2 linked regions of the Coturnix japonica genome follow. The protein of the gene in region 1 interacts with the protein of each later gene in a biochemical or structural test. Links are inferred from orthologs where the notes say so. Each region holds a gene or a part of one and is shown in the gene's direction. Other genes may lie near its edges.

Region 1 (8,468 bases):
TCCATCTTCCTTTATCAAGAATGTTCTTTGTTGGTGAAGTATGAGATATTTGGGCCATTGGCATGTTATTATGGCCTATCATACTCAAGCCAAACTTGCATGTGTCTTGCACACAGGCAGAAGAGAGAAAAAAATTATCTTGACTGGTTGCCATAGAAGACGCACTTGGCTTTGGCAAAGTTTCTATTAGGCATGTTTAGTTTCCTGGAAGAAAGTGTGGTCACATCTGCCCTTCAAATGTGAAAGAACTTTTGTGCTTTACGATACCTCACACACACTGATCTGGCACATATGAGTACTCCTCATATGAAGAAAACCCTGTTGAAGCTACAGGACTTGCCTCTTCCAAAAGGAATCATCAGTAAAACCACCATCAAACTGGCTTTCCAAGCTGACCAGAATGTGATGCTTACCTTTGGATTTGCCCAGGTCATCTAACAACCAAGGCAGGGCACACGAGTTCACCAGCAGCTGCCAGGCACCAGCCTGTTGGTGATGCACAACTAGTAGAGCTCTGAACACGTATGACTAGAGTAGAAGAAACGTGCACGCCTTAAGGATTGAAAATGAATGTCTTCTCATGTTGCACAAAGCAACATTAGGGAATCCCAGTGCCTGCAGCAGGACCTCGTAACCCAGCGCACATCCCATCTGGCCCCAGTTCAGACACAAACCTGTATCCTTCTGGCAACACTGTATCAATCAACGTGGGAAAACAGAACCAAACGATTCTTCACATTAGCACGGACATAACTTCAGTAAAGTTACCTTAGAAAGTTCACAAACTTCAGTCAGTCCACAAACAAACCAGCAGCAGACTATAAGGTCTTCCATGATCAGATCTCCCATCCCAAAGGAATCAGATCACACACCACCCCTCACATGGATTTAAAAAATCTCCCTTGGCTCATAAGGAGTAACTAAAATAATCATTGTTCCATAGGAATGAACAGGTAACAGTGACCTCAATTCAGCACGTTACATCTGATGTGCTTTACTACAAGCACCTGTATGAGGAAATGCTCCTGAAGGAACGGGAACACTCACTCCTGAAGCTAGCACCTATGTAAAGCACTGTTTCCTCTATTCCAAATTCAAGCCTCTGAGAACACTGCTGCTTCCAATGTATTTTGGATCAGACTTCTTAAGACAAGCAGATCCCGTTGCTGGTGTGATCCGTGCCAGCACAGCACCTGTTAGCAGATGGCTTTTGTTCTCCCAGGAATGCAGACATCTCCTCCAACCACTTCACATCATTCACAAAAAATCATTTATTTAAGACCCCACATTTTATGTTGGTGTTACCTATCAAAGTGCAGAACTGTTTGGTAAGCATCAGGACTGGATGTGTCAGTAATGCAGCCCTGGTTGGTGCCAGCAGCACAGGATCATACGCTGCCAACAAACATGGGGGGAAAAAAACCAACCCAAAGTGGAAGCAAAGGCTGAAATCCATCATTTCACTTTGTTGCTATGATTCTTCCACGCTGCAAAAGAACAGCAACAAAAAGTCTACAGCCTTTGTAACAAGCACTTGCAAAGTCATGAAGTAATAGAACAGCCTGATAAGGACAACTTTTGGAACAGGGAGATGCTCAGCGAGAAGCTCATTGAAATGGAGCCGTTGTTTACCCTCTCCAGCAGTATCATACTTTCTGCCGCCTCCCTCAGAGTTCTTGATTTCCATGATAATTGCAGAGATATGCCTTAAAGAAAAATGACTTCAGGAGGTACAGTTGCTGGTGGAAATAATCCTGCTTTAATGCATGCATTTGAATTCTGCCCATGATGCATTCCCAGCCACAGTAAACATCTCCTGCATTCAACGGGGTAACAATGCTTGCACCAAACCCACTGCTTCACTACGTTAAGGGATAAGAGCTCGAGAAACAGGAGTGGCCTTTCATTCAGAACATCTCTGTGAAATCATGAATCAAAGACACAAAGACATACCAACTTAATTAGATATGAGGTCACACTGACCATAATATAGTTGGAATGCAACAGGGAAAGCGGCCCTCCCACCACTGAAAGCACACTGCCCACATCATTCCTTGAAGTAATTAGAATACTGTTGTTTTGGGGTTTTTTAAATAATCCATCCACAAGGCCCTGATGGGGAATACAACACACAACCTCCAACTTGTTTTCTGCCACGGTTACGCATAAAAAGTGTTTAAAACAAAATACGAATAGTTCGAAATCTGACGGTGCCAAGCAGCTTGGAAAGCAGCGGTAAAGCACAAAAGGAGCCAGCACCTTTCATCTCCCCCAGCATTAAATCGGAGCAGGTCTCGCTCTCAGCGCTGACAGCAGCTCCCGAGGCAGCAGCAGCAGCACATCGTGCACGGCAGCCTTCAAACAAGGCCACAGCTCCGGGACAAGCCGCAGCTTCGGAGGATCGCTGGCACACGGAGCCGCTCCCGCCCGCAGAGCGCAAAGCCTCCACTTTCGTGGCACCTCCGGCACACGCGCGCTCAGTTAAACGCACATAAGCCTGCAGCCTAAAGCAGAGATCGGGGCAGGTTTCCACCGCAGGGAAACTTGGCTAAGGATAAGAGCGCCCGGAGGGCCGCCGAGGGGAGCGAGTTCCCGGGGCAGGGCAGCCCGAGCAGCGGGCGGCGCTCCCAGCGGGTGCCGTTCCTATCGGGTGCCGTTTCCCAACGGGGCGATCGCGTGTGGCTCCCGATCCCCGCCGTTACCTGGCAGCGGCGAGTCCGCCCCCGGGCGCGCTCCTCCGCGTCGGGCTCCGGCTGAGCCTCGGCTGCCGGCGGCCGAGGGGAGCGGCGGCGGCGGGGCGGGCGGCCGCGGAGGGAGCGGGCGGCGGGCGAGGGGGCGCGGCGGCGCTGCCGGCCAGCAGGTAGAGCAGCAGCAAACTGCCCAGCGCCAGCAGCGCCGCCGCCACCTTGCACGACAGCCGCATGGCGACGGCTCAGCGCGACCGCCCGCCCCTCTGCGCGCCCGCCGCCATCGCCGTCACCATCGGCCGCGGCCCGGAGCGGGGACGTGGCCGCCGAGCCCCGGCCGGCGCCCGGCAGCAGGGGCGGGGCGCGCCCTACCGTACTGTCTGGAGTAGCCGCCCCCAAACAGCGCTCGGGACGGAGGAACGGGAGGAAGGACGCTTCGTGCGGAGCACCGTGCCGGTGAATTAGTGACAGTCGTCGCGTTTCCCGGCAGGAGGAGGCTGGGCTTCGCTGCGGTACTTACAGCTACCTCCGATTTCCACGTTCACACAGGACTCTGCTCGTGTGGGGGCTCAGTGCGTGTGGATGGAAAGGTGAGGAGCGGGAGGGGACAGGGGATGCGGGCTGTTCACCTGCTGCTGCTGCGGGCATCGTGCAGCACATCGTGCAGCACATCACACTACTGTAACTGCCGGGCTGTAACGGGACCAGCCGCAGAACAGTGCAGGAATAAGAACGTTTTAACGCTGGGACTTGTGTCTACATCGTCATCTCCTTTCTCCTCCCTTCGTAGCTGATGTTCAGCGTCCGACCACAGAATCGTTTGGGTCGGAACGGGCTTTTAAAGCTCATCCAGCCCAACTGCCCCGCGGGTACAAGGACACCCGCGGCTCTGCTGGGCGCTCACAGCCCCCCGGCATCACAGGGAATGTCTGCGGGCCGCAATGCCCAGCACAGCACAGCACAGCACAGCACAGCACAGCACAGCACAGCACAGCACAGCACAGCACTGCACAGCACTGCACAGCACTGCACAGCACTGCACAGCACAGCACAGCACAGCACAGCGCAGCGCAGCACAGCACAGCACTGCACAGCACTGCACAGCACAGCACAGCGCAGCGCAGCGCAGCACATGCCGCAGCTCCGGCTGCACACAGCGGCACTGCGGGGCACGCTGCCATGTGTCAGGGTTGTGTCCGCTCCCGCCGTTCTCTGCGGGCGGGCGGCCCTCGGGGCGGGGCCGTTCCCGTGCATGCGCACCGCCTGCCCCGGCTCCACGGGCGCGGTGAGGGCGGGCGGCGAGTGGGGTGGGTGCTGTGTGTTGTGCTGCTGTGTTGGACGGTGCGGAGCTGCAGGCAGGACACGGCTCGTTTCTGAGGCTCAGCATCCGCGTTTGTCCACAGGGGGGAGGTGGTGGGTCGGTTAGTGGGTCCCACTCGCGTGCACAGGAACTGCGGCCCTCGTGGAGCGGGTCGGTGTGCGGTACGAGGTGCAGCAGTGCTCGGTGTGTGGGTTCGTGTTTGTCCTTATGTTCGGTGTCCGTGTGCGCTCACATCAGTGGGAGGTTGGAAACAGTTTGCAGAGTTGATGAATTCTAGGACTGGATGCGTTTTCCCCTTAATGAGTGCAACTAGTGCCCTGTGCTCTGCGTGCTTCTGTTTATGTACATAAAGCTGTGTTGCAGCAAGTGCAGCAAGATGGACCTTCAGGCCACGAGTGGAAATGCTTTTATCATCATCATCATTATTATTATTATTAATATTATTATTATTATGTGCTGTTGTTGTGTTTTCTTGGCTATGTGAGAATCACAAATGGCCTTAAAGAGTCTTCAGGACACGCTTTCTGCTGCTGTAAAATGGCAGCTGCAATAATTTATATCTCTTTCCCCATTTAATAGGGCCGTAGCACTGGTGGGAGCTTCTCCTGTGCTGGATTCATCATGATAACTCCAGACTTTGAGCTGAGCCAGGATCTCGATTTTCTTATAATAACCATCCGGGTGCCTTATGCCAAAGTGTCAGAGCTTGACCTGTTCTTTGAAGGGGAAGACTTCAAATTCTATGCCAAGCCTTACTTTCTCAGGTAAGCGGTGAAAGCGTTTTAAAAAGGTTGGACTTAATGAGATAAACGTTGGTAGAAAATGACCTTCATTTTGGGTCCTTCTGAACCTTCCTGGTCTGTAACTCTCACACTGTAGGCTGCACACAGCCCGTTTTCAGCATGGAACTGTATTTATGGATCTGGTACATTTGATTCCAGGTGTTGCCACCTTAAAAAGAGCTTAAGGAACTTCTACTTTTATATTAGCATTGATTTTTAATAGTAAACTGACAGCTTAATTCTTTGAATGCACCTAGGTCTTATAGAGTGTGTCATTTCCCCACTGAGAGTCAGGTATGATATATTTTGTGTGGAAAGAATTTTGATGCCTGCCTGATTAAATCCATGTGGTGCAGGTGTCAGGGAGTGAGGTTCCAGGCTTCGTTTTTTAGCAAGTGCCTTGCAATGCTATGGGAAAGAAACAATCAGCAATCTCATTGTGGAAATGTTGAGAGAATCTTTGACGTGTAAGGGCTGATGAGCCATGAACCCTTTTTATTTTCTACTTCCTGTTTTGTTGGATGTACTTATCCTATATGTGTATATATGCCATATATATATGTTAGTAGACCATAAAGGATTTCATTAGGTTGGTGGAAAGCACTGAGTTGGCTGCCTCATGTCCTGTCACAGTGGATTAGCTTAAAGGTTTTTAAATTACAGCATCTCTCAATTGCTGAAGTTAGTACTAAGGGTGTTGTGTCTGCGCTAGCTGTGACTTTGTCATTAACTTAAAGCTGCAGAGAGATTTTAGTTCATGACTTCCATTATTACCAACAGAATCACGTTGTTAAGTTGTTTGTACTGCCCTTGGAATGTGCCTTACATTTTTATGTGCTGAGATGTGAAGTTGCAGAATTAGTCAGGCATTCAATGAGACATCTCTTTATTTCCATCCAGACTGACACTTCCTGGAAGAGTTGTGGAAAATGGCAGAGAAAAAGCATCTTATGACACAGACAAAGGTATTGTTTAATATTTTATTGTAGTTGTCATGAAGAATACTGACTCTTCACTAGTTTATCTTGCAGTGGAAATGCGTGGAACTTTATCAAAGTGTGAATAAATAAATCCTGTAAATAAATGTAACTTCTCTTGTGTTACGTGGTTTTAAAAAAAGAAAACTTGCTGAGGATTTGTTGTGTGCAGTCTGTCGTTAAGTTTAAATGACTTGTCTGCAACTGTCTTAAAATACAAGAATGAAATGTGTCAAGCCCTGTTGGAGGCAGACACACCATTGTTCAAATATGTGACTTCTTCAGAGTCTTGCAAATCTGTGAAGAAGAGTGGTACTAAGCAGAAATGAGATGATCCCGAGACGTTCTCTTGACTAAGTCATAAGAGAGGACACTTTAAAGGTGGAAGGTGTTTCTGGAATAAAGTACCTTTTGAAATAAGCATACTCATAAACAGAAAGGCTTATGAAGGCTTTGTTTTGTGCTTGAAACGATAATCAGAGGGTTGAATAGCTTCTTGTAGCCATCCGTTGATGACAATTAATTGAAGTTTTTCTGTTGGTGTGTAGGTGACCACAGTTTGTTAAATGCTGTCTTTTATGCTTTAACATCTTTGATTTTTGTGTAATTTGTTATGGAAGTTTAAAAACATGTTTATATATCAGTGCGTAGTAGATTGCTACCTGCATGTACCTCAGCTTCATAAGCCTTTTACAGTAGAGGGGAAAATGAGCATTTTTGTTTGCCATGATTATTTCAATGTGGTAACTATATTCTGCCTTTATTATAAGGGACTTTTACAATTCAGTTACCTAAGGAGAGTCCTGGACAGTATTTTGAAGGTCTGGACATGCTGACATCTCTCTTAGCACCGAAGAAATCAAGGACAGCAAAACCTTTAGTGGAGGAGATAGGTATGACAAGAACTTAACTAAGTTATCAATTTAGGTACAAAATGAAATAGTTATAGATCTCCATAGTAATATATTTAATAAAAAGTGTTTCTGATATTGTTTAGGCCAAGGTAGAAGCAAAGTTTGAATGACTCTGGAATTTTGTGGGTTACTGAAAGGAATGTCTTGTAGTAGTTAATACATGTGCTATCTATGGGCTGTCTGTAGGTTAGTTATGATATCATCTTTTACAAAATGTGTTTAATGTGTGCTAATCCTCTGCAGATCTTTGTACCCCTCTAGTGGCTGTATAATAAACACACATGTGAGCCTTCCATGATGTAGCACAACTGGTCCTTTGGCTCTAAGGGCAGAAGCTAATTAAAACCACTTGTTCTAGTGGATGACTTGCTTAACATATTTTTCAGAAAATGTGACTGTCTATGATTAATTTTGTGGGCATCTGTCTTAAATTGTGGATAACTTTGTTATGTTCCTCTTGTGGTCCCCTTAGAATAAAATCCTGAGCTTGTTGAAATCAGTGGAACAATTGCTTTAGACTCTGACCGTGTGTGCTCAAAGCTTTAGTTTTCCTTGTCTCTATTCTTGCAATTTTTTTAATACTAGAGCAGGACCTGTTGCTCATTGCTGTGTGCATCTGCCTTCTCAAACACTTGAATAACCTATGACTTTTTCTGTAGTTCACTGAACTTGTTTGTGATAGAGGCAGTCTAGTCCAATGTGAACATATAGGTGTGTGCCACCCTTCAGGGTTAGGATAGAATTGGAAAATTGGGCTTGTGTGTTAAAGCAAGTGGTATTTTGCGTGTTACGGGTGGTAAGAGTGTATGGGTGCATTTTGTTAGGAGGCTGCCCTTTGCAGAGGGATGCAGCGAAGGTCCAACGATTCTGAACATCTATAGTTGGAAAGTCTGTTATGGCTGATTTGCATTCAGACTATCTGGTTTAGGAAAATTCTCAGGATATTCTCAGTGTCAGTCCCATAAAGTGGGATGTGAAATTGCGTAGTTCACATGTTTACCTTTTCCCCTTCTGTTTCTTTAAATTATAGTTAGCCCAGCACTGCAGAAGATTTCTTAAATAAATAAAAAGTGCTTATTTTGTTTGCCTTTCTTCAAATCATATGCATAAAGTTTTCTTTCTCTGATCATGCATATACCCAGGTGTCCCTGCAGAGTTGGAGGAGGAGGAAGAGGAAGAATTTGACTGGGAAATAGAGCAGACCCTTTATAAGGAAGCTGCAGAAAGTCCTTTGCCACTTCAGTGCTACTATGGGTTTGGGAATCTGCGGTCAGGGGTATTTCAGAGGCTGCAGGTAAATTAATTCTTTTTCCTGTCATAAAGATTCCAAGTACCTTTCTCCTTGGGTGGGGTTCCTGGTTCATTCTGTAGCCAGGAGAAGATTGTTAGGTAACAATTCTCCATTGCTGAATTCTAGCTGTGTTTCTCCTGTGGATTAGTTGGTAGAACAGGAGCTTCGAAGTGTCTTTACTTTGCTCCTGTCTGTTCAGCAGTTAAACAGGCAGAAGCTAATCTACAACCAGTAACATGCTAAGTAGGATGATTTTCATAGCATACAAAGCTTTAATAAAAGAAGTGGATTATATTTCTTTAATTTTCTACTTAAATTCTTTCTCTGAGTGATTTCAGTAGCCTTTCAAAGCAAATTGCACAACTTTGTAAATCACTGCATGAATTGTAATCGTTTAAGGTTTTGGGGCAGATGACTGCTGTCTGTGGAGAAAGCATTTGTATTCTGTTAGGATATTTGCACTGGCTTATTACTGTGAAATTTCTGAAGTAGTCCA
Region 2 (8,812 bases), on another chromosome or scaffold:
CTTCATTGAGGAGACCTGGTGCAGCTTGGCAAATATCTTGCCATAGAAGTAGAGGAAGAGCAGCAGCACAATGAAGAAGGCAGCTACTGCGGCCATGTTGAGGGCTGCTGCCGTGGTGCTTTTGCTCCTGAAGTGGAAGCATTTATGGTCACAGGACTCCTTCCCTCTTTTCTCAAAGAAGAAAGGCAGCATGAAGGCAAAGTTCACCACCCAAACCATCCCAGAGGCCAACATGCTGCGGGACACGGTGTGAATCCTGTATTTCTGGAGGGGCCGGATGATCTTCAGGTAGCGGTCCAGGCTGATCAGGCTGAGGAAGGTGATGCTGACATACATGTTGAGGTAGAAGAAGGCCCCAACGATGTTACAAAAGACACGGGGCTCACTCCTGTCCTGGAAGGCGATGCGGAAGGGCAGGCAGAGGGCCAGCAGGAGGTCGGAGAGTGCCAGGTTCCTCATGTACACAGTGATGGAGGTCTGGCGCTGCATGCTGTGTGAAAACACCCAGAGTGCCAGCACATTGCTGAGCAGCCCAATGGCAAAGATCAGGGAGTACATCACAGGCAGCGTCACTGAGAGGAACCCATCGTGGATCTGACAGGAGTTACCCAGGAGCTGCTCAGTGACTTCAATGGTAGGAGGGGGGGTGCTCAGGGGGTCCATCGTGAGCGTGCAGACCTGGAATGCAATATGCAGGGAGAGCTGTAACAGGGTATTGGGGTGAGCTGGAAGCATGTGGGCATTGGGATACACACGGAGTACAGCCACCTGTGGTACCCAGTGCCCCAGATGCAATGGGAAAATGGCTCTGGGCAAGGAACAGGCTCTGCCTGCTCTCTGTAGGGAAATGTCTGCTGAGGATGTGCCCATTAAACACTGGTAGGGAAGCAAAGCCCACTTCTGCCTGTCCCAGCTTCTCCCAGCTCTGTGCCATGAAGGAGGTCAGGAAGGGGCAGATGAGACCGTGGAAGTATGCGGGGTGAGCTGCTTAACAGTGTCTGGAGGGGGGTCAGCCCAACTCCAGCTCTGATTTCACATGAGAGACAAAACAGGTACAGCAAACATTAATCCAGGCCATGTGCAACCCAGGGACCCAACGCTGGGCACTGACACATCCTCTGCCAGCACCTGCCCCACTGCCTACAGAGCCCTTTGTGAGCCTGTGAGCTCCTGCATGCCCCACTGCCTCCCTCCCCTTTCCACTTTCCGTGATGCTGAGTGATGGAGAGCTGCAGAACTCTCCGACTTCCCTCCCACATACCATAACTTCTCTACCGCCTTTCTTTGCTCCCTCCACACCTGCCCAGCATACCAGGACAGCAGGGCAGGGCAGCACACCTGGATGGAGGCTGCAGAGCTCCATGAGCTCGCTGCTTGTAACTCACAGTCATATATAAGCAGGGGACTGAGCTCCCCACATTCACCGCTCACAGCTCAAAGCACAGCAGTGTTGCCACCAAGCCCCTGATGGTTTCAGAGCAGCGTGCTCTGCCTGTACACCCATCACAGTGCTCTGCATATAGTTTGCAAGGGGCAGCACAGCTGAGCACACAGACAGCACGGTTTGCACACACAGGTAGCCCTGCAGCACGCACTGTGTGTGCCTACAGGCACATTAGTGTGGCAGCCACCCACAGCTGTTGTCACAGCACAACTCACGCTCCCCCTCCCAGCTCTGATCACGGCCCCCACCAGCTGCAGCCCGACCCAGAGGCACCCACCTCACCCGGCACTGCTCAGCTCCTGCACCAGCTGTGACAGAGCTCCGTGTTCCCCACAGCCCCTATAAGCCCTTGGCTGCTGACACCTCCCACCCGTGACAAGTCTCACCCCGCTCCACCTCCCCTCCCACGTGTGTTGCTGTGTTTTTCCCCTGCTGGAGGTGGTTCCCGAGGTGAGCTCGGTGCTGCAGGGCGATACTGACATTACGCGCCTCGCAGTGCAGCTCAGCAGCCACGTGGCCCCGCCCCCCCCAATGGGCGTGGCTCCGCGAGACCACGCCCCCACGGGCGCCCCGCCCCGCCCCCCATGCCCCGGCAGTGGGCGCTGATTGGTCGGCGCCATGAGGCTCCGGCGGGACGCGGCGCGATCGCGTCACTTCCGTGCGACGCGTGATGCTGGCGGCGGGCGGTTCGGGGCCCGGCGGTTCGGGCGGCTCCGGAACCGGGCCGGGTCCCGGCGGCGGGGACGGGGACTTCCTGTCGCGGTACCGGCTGGTGTCGGCCAAACTGCGGCGGCGGTTCCTGCGGAAGCCGAACGTGGCGGAGGCGGCGGAGCAGTTCGCGGCGCTGGCGCGGGAGCTGCGCGCTCAGGAGAGCCTGCCGTACGCGGCGTGGTGCCAGCTGGCGGTGGCGCGCTGCGCGCAGAGCCTGTTCCACGGCCCGGCCGAGGCGGCGGCGCTGTGCGAAGCGGCGCGGCTGTTCCTGCGCCAGGAGCGGGACCTGCGGCAGCGCCTGGCTCTGCGCGGGGGGTTCGGCGAGCACCTGGCGGCGGCGCAGAGCTGCGGGGCGTTCGCCGCCCGCCTGCACCTGGAGCGGGGGCAGCCGGCGCTGGCGGCCGGGCTCTGCCTGGAGATGGCGGCGGCGCTGCGAGACACGGGCCGGCCCGCCCGCGCCGCCGCGCACCTGCAGAGGGCGGCCGAGCTGCTGACGGCCGCTAAGCTGCCCCTGGAGGCGCTGCGCTGCCTGACGGAGCGCGCCTCCTGCCTGCTGCTGGGCCGCGACTACGCCGGGGCTCTGGCCGCGCTCACCCGGGCGCAGGCGTTGGCCGGAGCCGGAGCCGGGATCGGGACCGGGGGCGGCGGCGGCGGGGCCGCGCCCGGAGGAGCCTTCCTGGACGCGCTGGTGAGCTGCGAGGTGTCGCGGGTGCTGCTGCTGCTGCTCCTGCAGCCGCCGCCCGGCAAGCTGCCGCCCGAGCACGCCCGCACGCTGGAGCAGTACTGCTGGGAGCCGCCCGAGGGCGGCGCGGCGGGCGGGGGGCTGCCGGCGGCTGCCGGTTACCTGCCCGCACGGCTGTTCCTGCTGCTGCAGTCCGCAGTGCTGGCCTGCCAGGAGAAGGACGCGGCCGCGCTGCGGGCGCTGCAGGCGGAGCTGTGGCCGCTGCTGAGCGCCGAGCAGAACCACCTGCTGCACCTCGTGCTGCACGACCTGCTCAGCCCCGCGGGGAACGGGCTGTGAGCGCCAGCACCGCCGTGCCCGGAGCATCCAGGACTGATACGGAACTGTCCTGCTCGGGGGCTGCCGGCGGGACGGGCTCGGGTCGATTGAGCCCCGCCGGCGGGGCGTGTAACACCGTGTATCACCGTGTAACACCGTGTATTACCATGTAGTACCGTGTAACACCGTGTAGTGCCATGTAACACCATGTTACGGCCCGGCTCGGGGCCTGCAATAAAGCTGCGGAGCGGGCGCTCTCTGGCTGCAGCGATTGGTTGCTGGGGCGGTGGGCGGGGCCAGTGAGTGGGCGTGGTCACGCACGGCGGGAGCGCGAGGCCCCGCCCACCCGGCGTCACGTGGCGCCGCGGGGGCTGTCGGGAAGGGGTGGTCTTTCCGCTCTCGGCGCGGCGGCAGCACGCGGTGCGGTCATGGCGGACGGGGACGGTGAGCGGCGGGACGGGGCGGGGCGCGGGGCGGGAGGAGCCCGCCGTGTCCTGCGGGACGGGGGGGGCCGGGCCGGGCCGGGCCGGATGGCGCCTCGTCGGTCCCGCGGGCCGCTGAGTGTGCCTCTCCCGTAGGTTCTGCCGTGAAGAAGCGGCGGAAGAAGGACAAGCGATCGCTGCCCGACGAGGATGTGGCGGTGAGGGCGGCGGGGGGAGCCACCGTGGGACGGATCCACCGTGGGACGGATCCACCGTGGGATCCACGTGTCCCACGGCGGGAGCGGGGGAGGGCGGTGGTGAGCGCTACCGCGTGGTGCCTCCGACCCTTCGCTGTATCCCCCCGTTGTATCCCCCCGTTGTGCCCCCTGACGCCCCGTTGTGCCCCGCAGGACATCCAGCACACCGAGGAGTTCCTCATCAAGCCCGAGTCCCGCGTGGCGCAGCTGGACACGTCCCAATGGCCGCTGCTGCTGAAGGTACCGAGCACAGCCGGGCGGTGGCTCCCCGCCTTTGGATGTGGTTCGTGTTCCTGCTCCGTGATGGGGTTTATTTGTGCTGCTCCTTTTCCTGCCCCACGGCTGTGCTGTTACAGTCGTTTTGCCTCATAAACCTGAATGCAAAGCCCCCCCTGTGCAACCAGCAGCACTGCACAGTGTTATGCTGTTATCCTCAGGCTCACCTCCATCTCCTGATACTTAACTTCTTTGCTTTGCTTTTGTAGAACTTTGACAAGCTCAACGTGCTGACGACACACTACACACCCCTCCCGTCCGGTGCTAATCCCTTGAAGAGGGAGATCTCTGACTATATACGGTGAGCAGAACAACCCACTGATTACATATGCTACACGCTGAGCTATGGTAGCAGAATGGAGAGCAGTGTTTAATCACAGCATGTGTGAGCACAGCTCCACGTGTGCTTGGTGGAGCAGCTCTGTGGCTCAGCTCCTGTCCAGCTGTTTATTCAGAAACGTTTCTGTGTTACCATGACAAACCTCATCCTGTTTTTCACATTGCTGTTGTTGGCCCCGACGTGTAGCTCCTAACCTGTCATCTCACACTATAGGTCTGGCTTCATCAATCTGGACAAGCCTTCCAATCCATCCTCCCATGAGGTGGTGGCGTGGATCCGGCGCATCCTTAGAGTAGAGAAGACAGGGCACAGTGGCACCCTGGACCCTAAAGTGACCGGATGCCTCATTGTGTGCATTGAGAGAGCGACACGACTCGTTAAGTCTCAGCAGAGTGCAGGTAGGTTCATTGCCACCAGACTGTGGTCAAAGTGGTTGAGGAGATGCAGAGCTCTTGTGGAGGCAAGGAGATATTCATTCTTGCCCTAAGCCTTCAGTGCCTTGAGCTCAAGGATTGCTTATCCATCTTGCTTCCAGCCATCGAGGGCACATCCGTGCTGTCTCAGGTGGTTTTTCTGATTGCTTCTCTGGGGCTTGTGCTCTTTTAGGTCAGTGAAAACAGGTCTGAAAGACAGGTTTTACGTGCAAACTCAACTTGAGGCACAAGTGTGTAAATCCCAAAGAATAAAACACAGCGAAGAAATAAACATGCAGCTAAGATTGGTTTGGGGGGAGAATAATGTCTGAGTGGTGTGCACCTCCTAGGAGAGCTGTTTGTATGGCAGTGCATGACTTGAGGTCAACATTAAATGCAAGTGGCCGCTCCTGACTGCTCTTGTCGTTCTTTCAGGCAAAGAGTATGTGGGAATTGTTCGGCTGCACAATGCAATTGAAAGTGAGGCTCAGCTTGCCAGGGTAAGTCTCAGCACACTGTTGGACTGTTGGCCACACTGGTACTCTGTGCAAAGAGTTCAGCTTCTGTGGGAGATGAGCGGGTAGGAGCAGAGCTCAGGTGTGCTGTGTGTGAGGTGATGATGAAGTTTATCCATTCTCTGAGTGCGCTGGCACTGCCCTCCTGCAGCACCCGATTCCTGTTCTAGGGTCTGGGTGCCGTGCAGCTCCAGGAGACCCTGCAGTGTCCCACGTCCGCTGGGGCTGCTGTGGTGTGTGGCTGGCTGCCTGCAGGAGCAAAGCGGTGCAGGCAGGGTCAGGGCCGCCTCTGGGGGCTCTGTCCTCACTGAGACGAGGGATGACATCTGATTGCATGCTGCCACCTGATGGAAATCCCAACTGTGCCTCACTGGCAGCTGTGGGAGCGTTTTGACCACATCAGTGGTTCACACCAGCTTTCTTAAATACGAGATAACCACGTGGTGATGAGCCTGTCACTCACAGAGGTCTTCAATTCCTGGAGACCCTGAGGTGCTCAGGTGTCAGCTGTACTAATGGCCCAGCTTAAGGTGTTATTTCATTTGCTTCTACCTTCAGGCCATAGAAACCCTGACAGGAGCACTCTTCCAGCGACCGCCCCTCATCGCTGCTGTTAAGCGACAGCTGAGAGTCCGGACCATCTATGAGAGCAAGCTGGTGGAGTACGATCCTGAGAGAAGACTGGGTAAAATACACCTTTCCTGCCTTTGGTTACTCTCCCAGTTCGTGTGCTGTTTCCCATTCTTTGCAGGTGTGCTGAGATACAGATCCTTGCACCCACCGAGCAGTAAATGCTTTGTGCGTTATTTACACTGAGAAACAAATCTCACCTGCTTTGTTAGTTTTGCACCCTTCACTGAAGAGCCAAATGATGTCAGCTAGATGGCATTAGCACTCAGTGCAAAGATGACCTTCATCTATCACCCCATGCTGATGGCTCTGTGAGGGGCTGGATGTGGAGCCTCTAGATGTGGCTCATTGGTAGCTGTACATATCAATTCTCTCTTGTGTTTCAGGTATCTTCTGGGTGAGCTGTGAAGCAGGAACGTACATCCGAACACTTTGTGTCCACCTTGGTTTGCTGCTCGGTGTTGGGGGCCAAATGCAGGAGCTCCGGAGAGTGCGGTCGGGCATCCTGGGAGAGATGGTAGGGGGGTGATTTGATTGGGAGTGTAACTAGAAACTGGGAGGTTGCAGGAGTTCCCCAAAATGGTCTTTCTTCTTTGGTGCTGGGGATGGGTGTAGGTGCACAGTGACTGGGAAGTGCTGTGAATACACCTGGCAGTCGTGGCACTTGCCATAGGCAACCTAGAACCAAAGTGTTGAGTTCAGTTCAGGGTCTTGTCCCTGTTCTGGTAATTAAACTTTGGGACAGAAATGACTGGGAAGTGCACCCTGGTGACTGAAAGTTTGTCTTATGCCACCTGTGTTTCTCAGCCTACAACCTACACGTGTCTGGAGTTTGGGCACACGAGCTGCTTGCTCAGCAGTGTGATCACTTGTTGTCAGGGTGCAGTGCAGGGAATAGTGTGCCTTAGCAAAGGGCGCATTTAAGCTTGGTCCCACTTGAAAAGTGTTTTACATAGACAGAGTTTGCACACTTGATCCCAGTGCAGTGTGATGTTGGGCAGGTAGAAGCCTGAAGCAGCAGAGATGAGACTGCCCTCGAGCTGCCAGCAGGACATGCTTGTTCTTGCCTTTTCTATGGAGATTTTATAGATGTTTCTGAATTGGGCACCAATTTTCTCCCCCTTCCAGCACGCTATCTGCCATTAGGCTTCAGCTGTGTCTTGTGCGTGTTTCGAGCTGGTGGCTGCTCTGAGTTCATAGGGGCTGTATCTTTGCAGGACAACATGGTGACCATGCATGACGTGCTGGATGCACAGTGGCAGTATGACAACAACAAGGATGACAGCTACCTGCGGCGTGTCATCCTGCCCCTGGAGAAGCTGCTCACCTCACACAAGAGGCTCGTCATGAAAGACAGTGCGGTGAGTTCCTGAGTTAGGGCTGCTCGATGCAGTGGTTGTGTCCTGTCTTATGCAGCTCATAAATGAGGGATCAGGGTCCTCGTGGTGCACAGCACTGTCATGTCATGTGCTGTGTAGGACCTGGTATTGGTAGTCAGCTAGAAACATGTTAGTGTTATTGTTAATAACAGTAATGAGAATGGGAAGGCAAAATTAGAGGTACTTCTTGCACTCATTTTGTCCTCCAGTTGCTTACAGGCCTTGCTGTTCCCTTCCTCTTTAGGTTAATGCCATTTGCTATGGAGCCAAGATCATGTTGCCTGGTGTCCTGAGGTATGAAGATGGTATTGAGCTTAATCAAGAGATCGTAGTCATCACCACCAAAGGAGAAGCTATCTGCCTAGGTATGAAGCTGGCTTATTCCTGTGCCCACCTATGCAGAAATAACAAACTACTTTCTGGTGAAGTTATATTAGAAGAGACCCAGTGCATGGGGAGGTTGAAGTAGTGCTTCCCTAAAAGCTATTATACAGCAAAGTACGAGGTGTTCCTCAGTGTTTCAGTTGCATAGAACTCAGGTGTGCTGTGTGTGAGGTGATGAAGAAGTTTATCCATTCTCTGAGTGCGCTGGCACTGCCCTCCTGCAGCACCCGATTCCTGTTCTAGGGTCTGGGTGCCGTGCAACCTCCAGAGACCCTGCAGTGTCCCAGCGTCCTGCTGGGGGCTGCTGTGGTGTGTGGCTGGCTGCCTGCAGGAGCAAAGCGGTGCAGGCAGGGTCAGGGCCCCTCTCCGGGGGGCTCTGTCCTCACTGAGACGAGGGATGACATCTGATTACATGCTGCCACCTGATAGAAATCCCAGCTGTGCCTCACTGGCAGCTGTGGGAGTGTTTTCAGACTGATGTGGTCATATCAGCTCAGCCTTTGAGATCGGCATCTTTCTGAAGCTTGAGTGCAAAGCTTTCCTCCAGTGAGGTTTTCAGGGGGATATGGCGTTTTGTCTTTCCTTTGTGCTGCCAGAGGAGGAGCAGCCTGAACCCAGCATACTCTTGCATCTGTACTCTCACAGTTTTGCTGTTGTGATGTGTTGGTAAGCTCCCTGCTTGTTTCTGCAGCCATTGCCTTGATGACTACTGCTGTCATTTCTACCTGCGACCATGGCGTGGTAGCAAAGATCAAGAGAGTAATCATGGAGAGAGACACATATCCCCGCAAATGGGGCCTCGGTCCCAAGGTGAGCAGCTGGGAACTCAGTGGTGTTGGTGGGTGCCCAGTTATGGGGCTGCAGGCACTTCAGGTCTGTGCTCAAGAGCCAAATGATGTCAACTGGTTGGCATTAGCACCCTGTGCAAAGATGACCTTCATCTATCACCCCATGCTGATGGCTCTGGAGGGTCAGGGAGCTGTGCAGTTGCAGTGCTTCAGCTGAAATGTGGTTGGTCATTAAGGTGGAGGAAAAATGATG

The links.
Region 2: the proteins of SHQ1 (region 1) and DKC1 are reported together in a solved structure, tested with the Homo sapiens proteins (2 studies listed by BioGRID, with this or other methods). The link is inferred for Coturnix japonica from reciprocal best matches to the Homo sapiens genes SHQ1 and DKC1.

The regions. Positions count from the first base shown.
Region 1 is NC_029527.1:13,898,762-13,907,229, reverse strand, and holds the start of SHQ1 (protein SHQ1 homolog), read left to right. Parts: upstream 1-3,922; 5' UTR 3,923-3,939; coding exon 3,940-3,972; intron 3,973-4,002; exon of another isoform or gene 4,003-4,199; intron 4,200-4,587; coding exon 4,588-4,772; intron 4,773-5,690; coding exon 5,691-5,755; intron 5,756-6,537; coding exon 6,538-6,660; intron 6,661-7,823; coding exon 7,824-7,975; intron 7,976-8,468. Other genes in the region: GXYLT2 (glucoside xylosyltransferase 2), read right to left, coding at 2,703-2,923. UniProt on the Homo sapiens protein: Required for the quantitative accumulation of H/ACA ribonucleoproteins (RNPs), including telomerase, probably through the stabilization of DKC1, from the time of its synthesis until its association with NOP10, NHP2, and NAF1 at the nascent H/ACA RNA.
Region 2 is NC_029519.1:2,064,370-2,073,181, forward strand, and holds the start of DKC1 (H/ACA ribonucleoprotein complex subunit DKC1), read left to right. Parts: upstream 1-3,473; 5' UTR 3,474-3,583; coding exon 3,584-3,599; intron 3,600-3,733; coding exon 3,734-3,795; intron 3,796-3,987; coding exon 3,988-4,074; intron 4,075-4,319; coding exon 4,320-4,411; intron 4,412-4,663; coding exon 4,664-4,848; intron 4,849-5,298; coding exon 5,299-5,363; intron 5,364-5,471; exon of another isoform or gene 5,472-5,712; intron 5,713-5,936; coding exon 5,937-6,063; intron 6,064-6,241; exon of another isoform or gene 6,242-6,317; intron 6,318-6,394; coding exon 6,395-6,525; intron 6,526-6,690; exon of another isoform or gene 6,691-6,824; intron 6,825-7,225; coding exon 7,226-7,369; intron 7,370-7,631; coding exon 7,632-7,752; intron 7,753-7,937; exon of another isoform or gene 7,938-8,183; intron 8,184-8,462; coding exon 8,463-8,581; intron 8,582-8,658; exon of another isoform or gene 8,659-8,734; intron 8,735-8,812. Other genes in the region: probable G-protein coupled receptor 34, read right to left, coding at 1-663; 40-kDa huntingtin-associated protein-like, read left to right, coding at 2,115-3,176.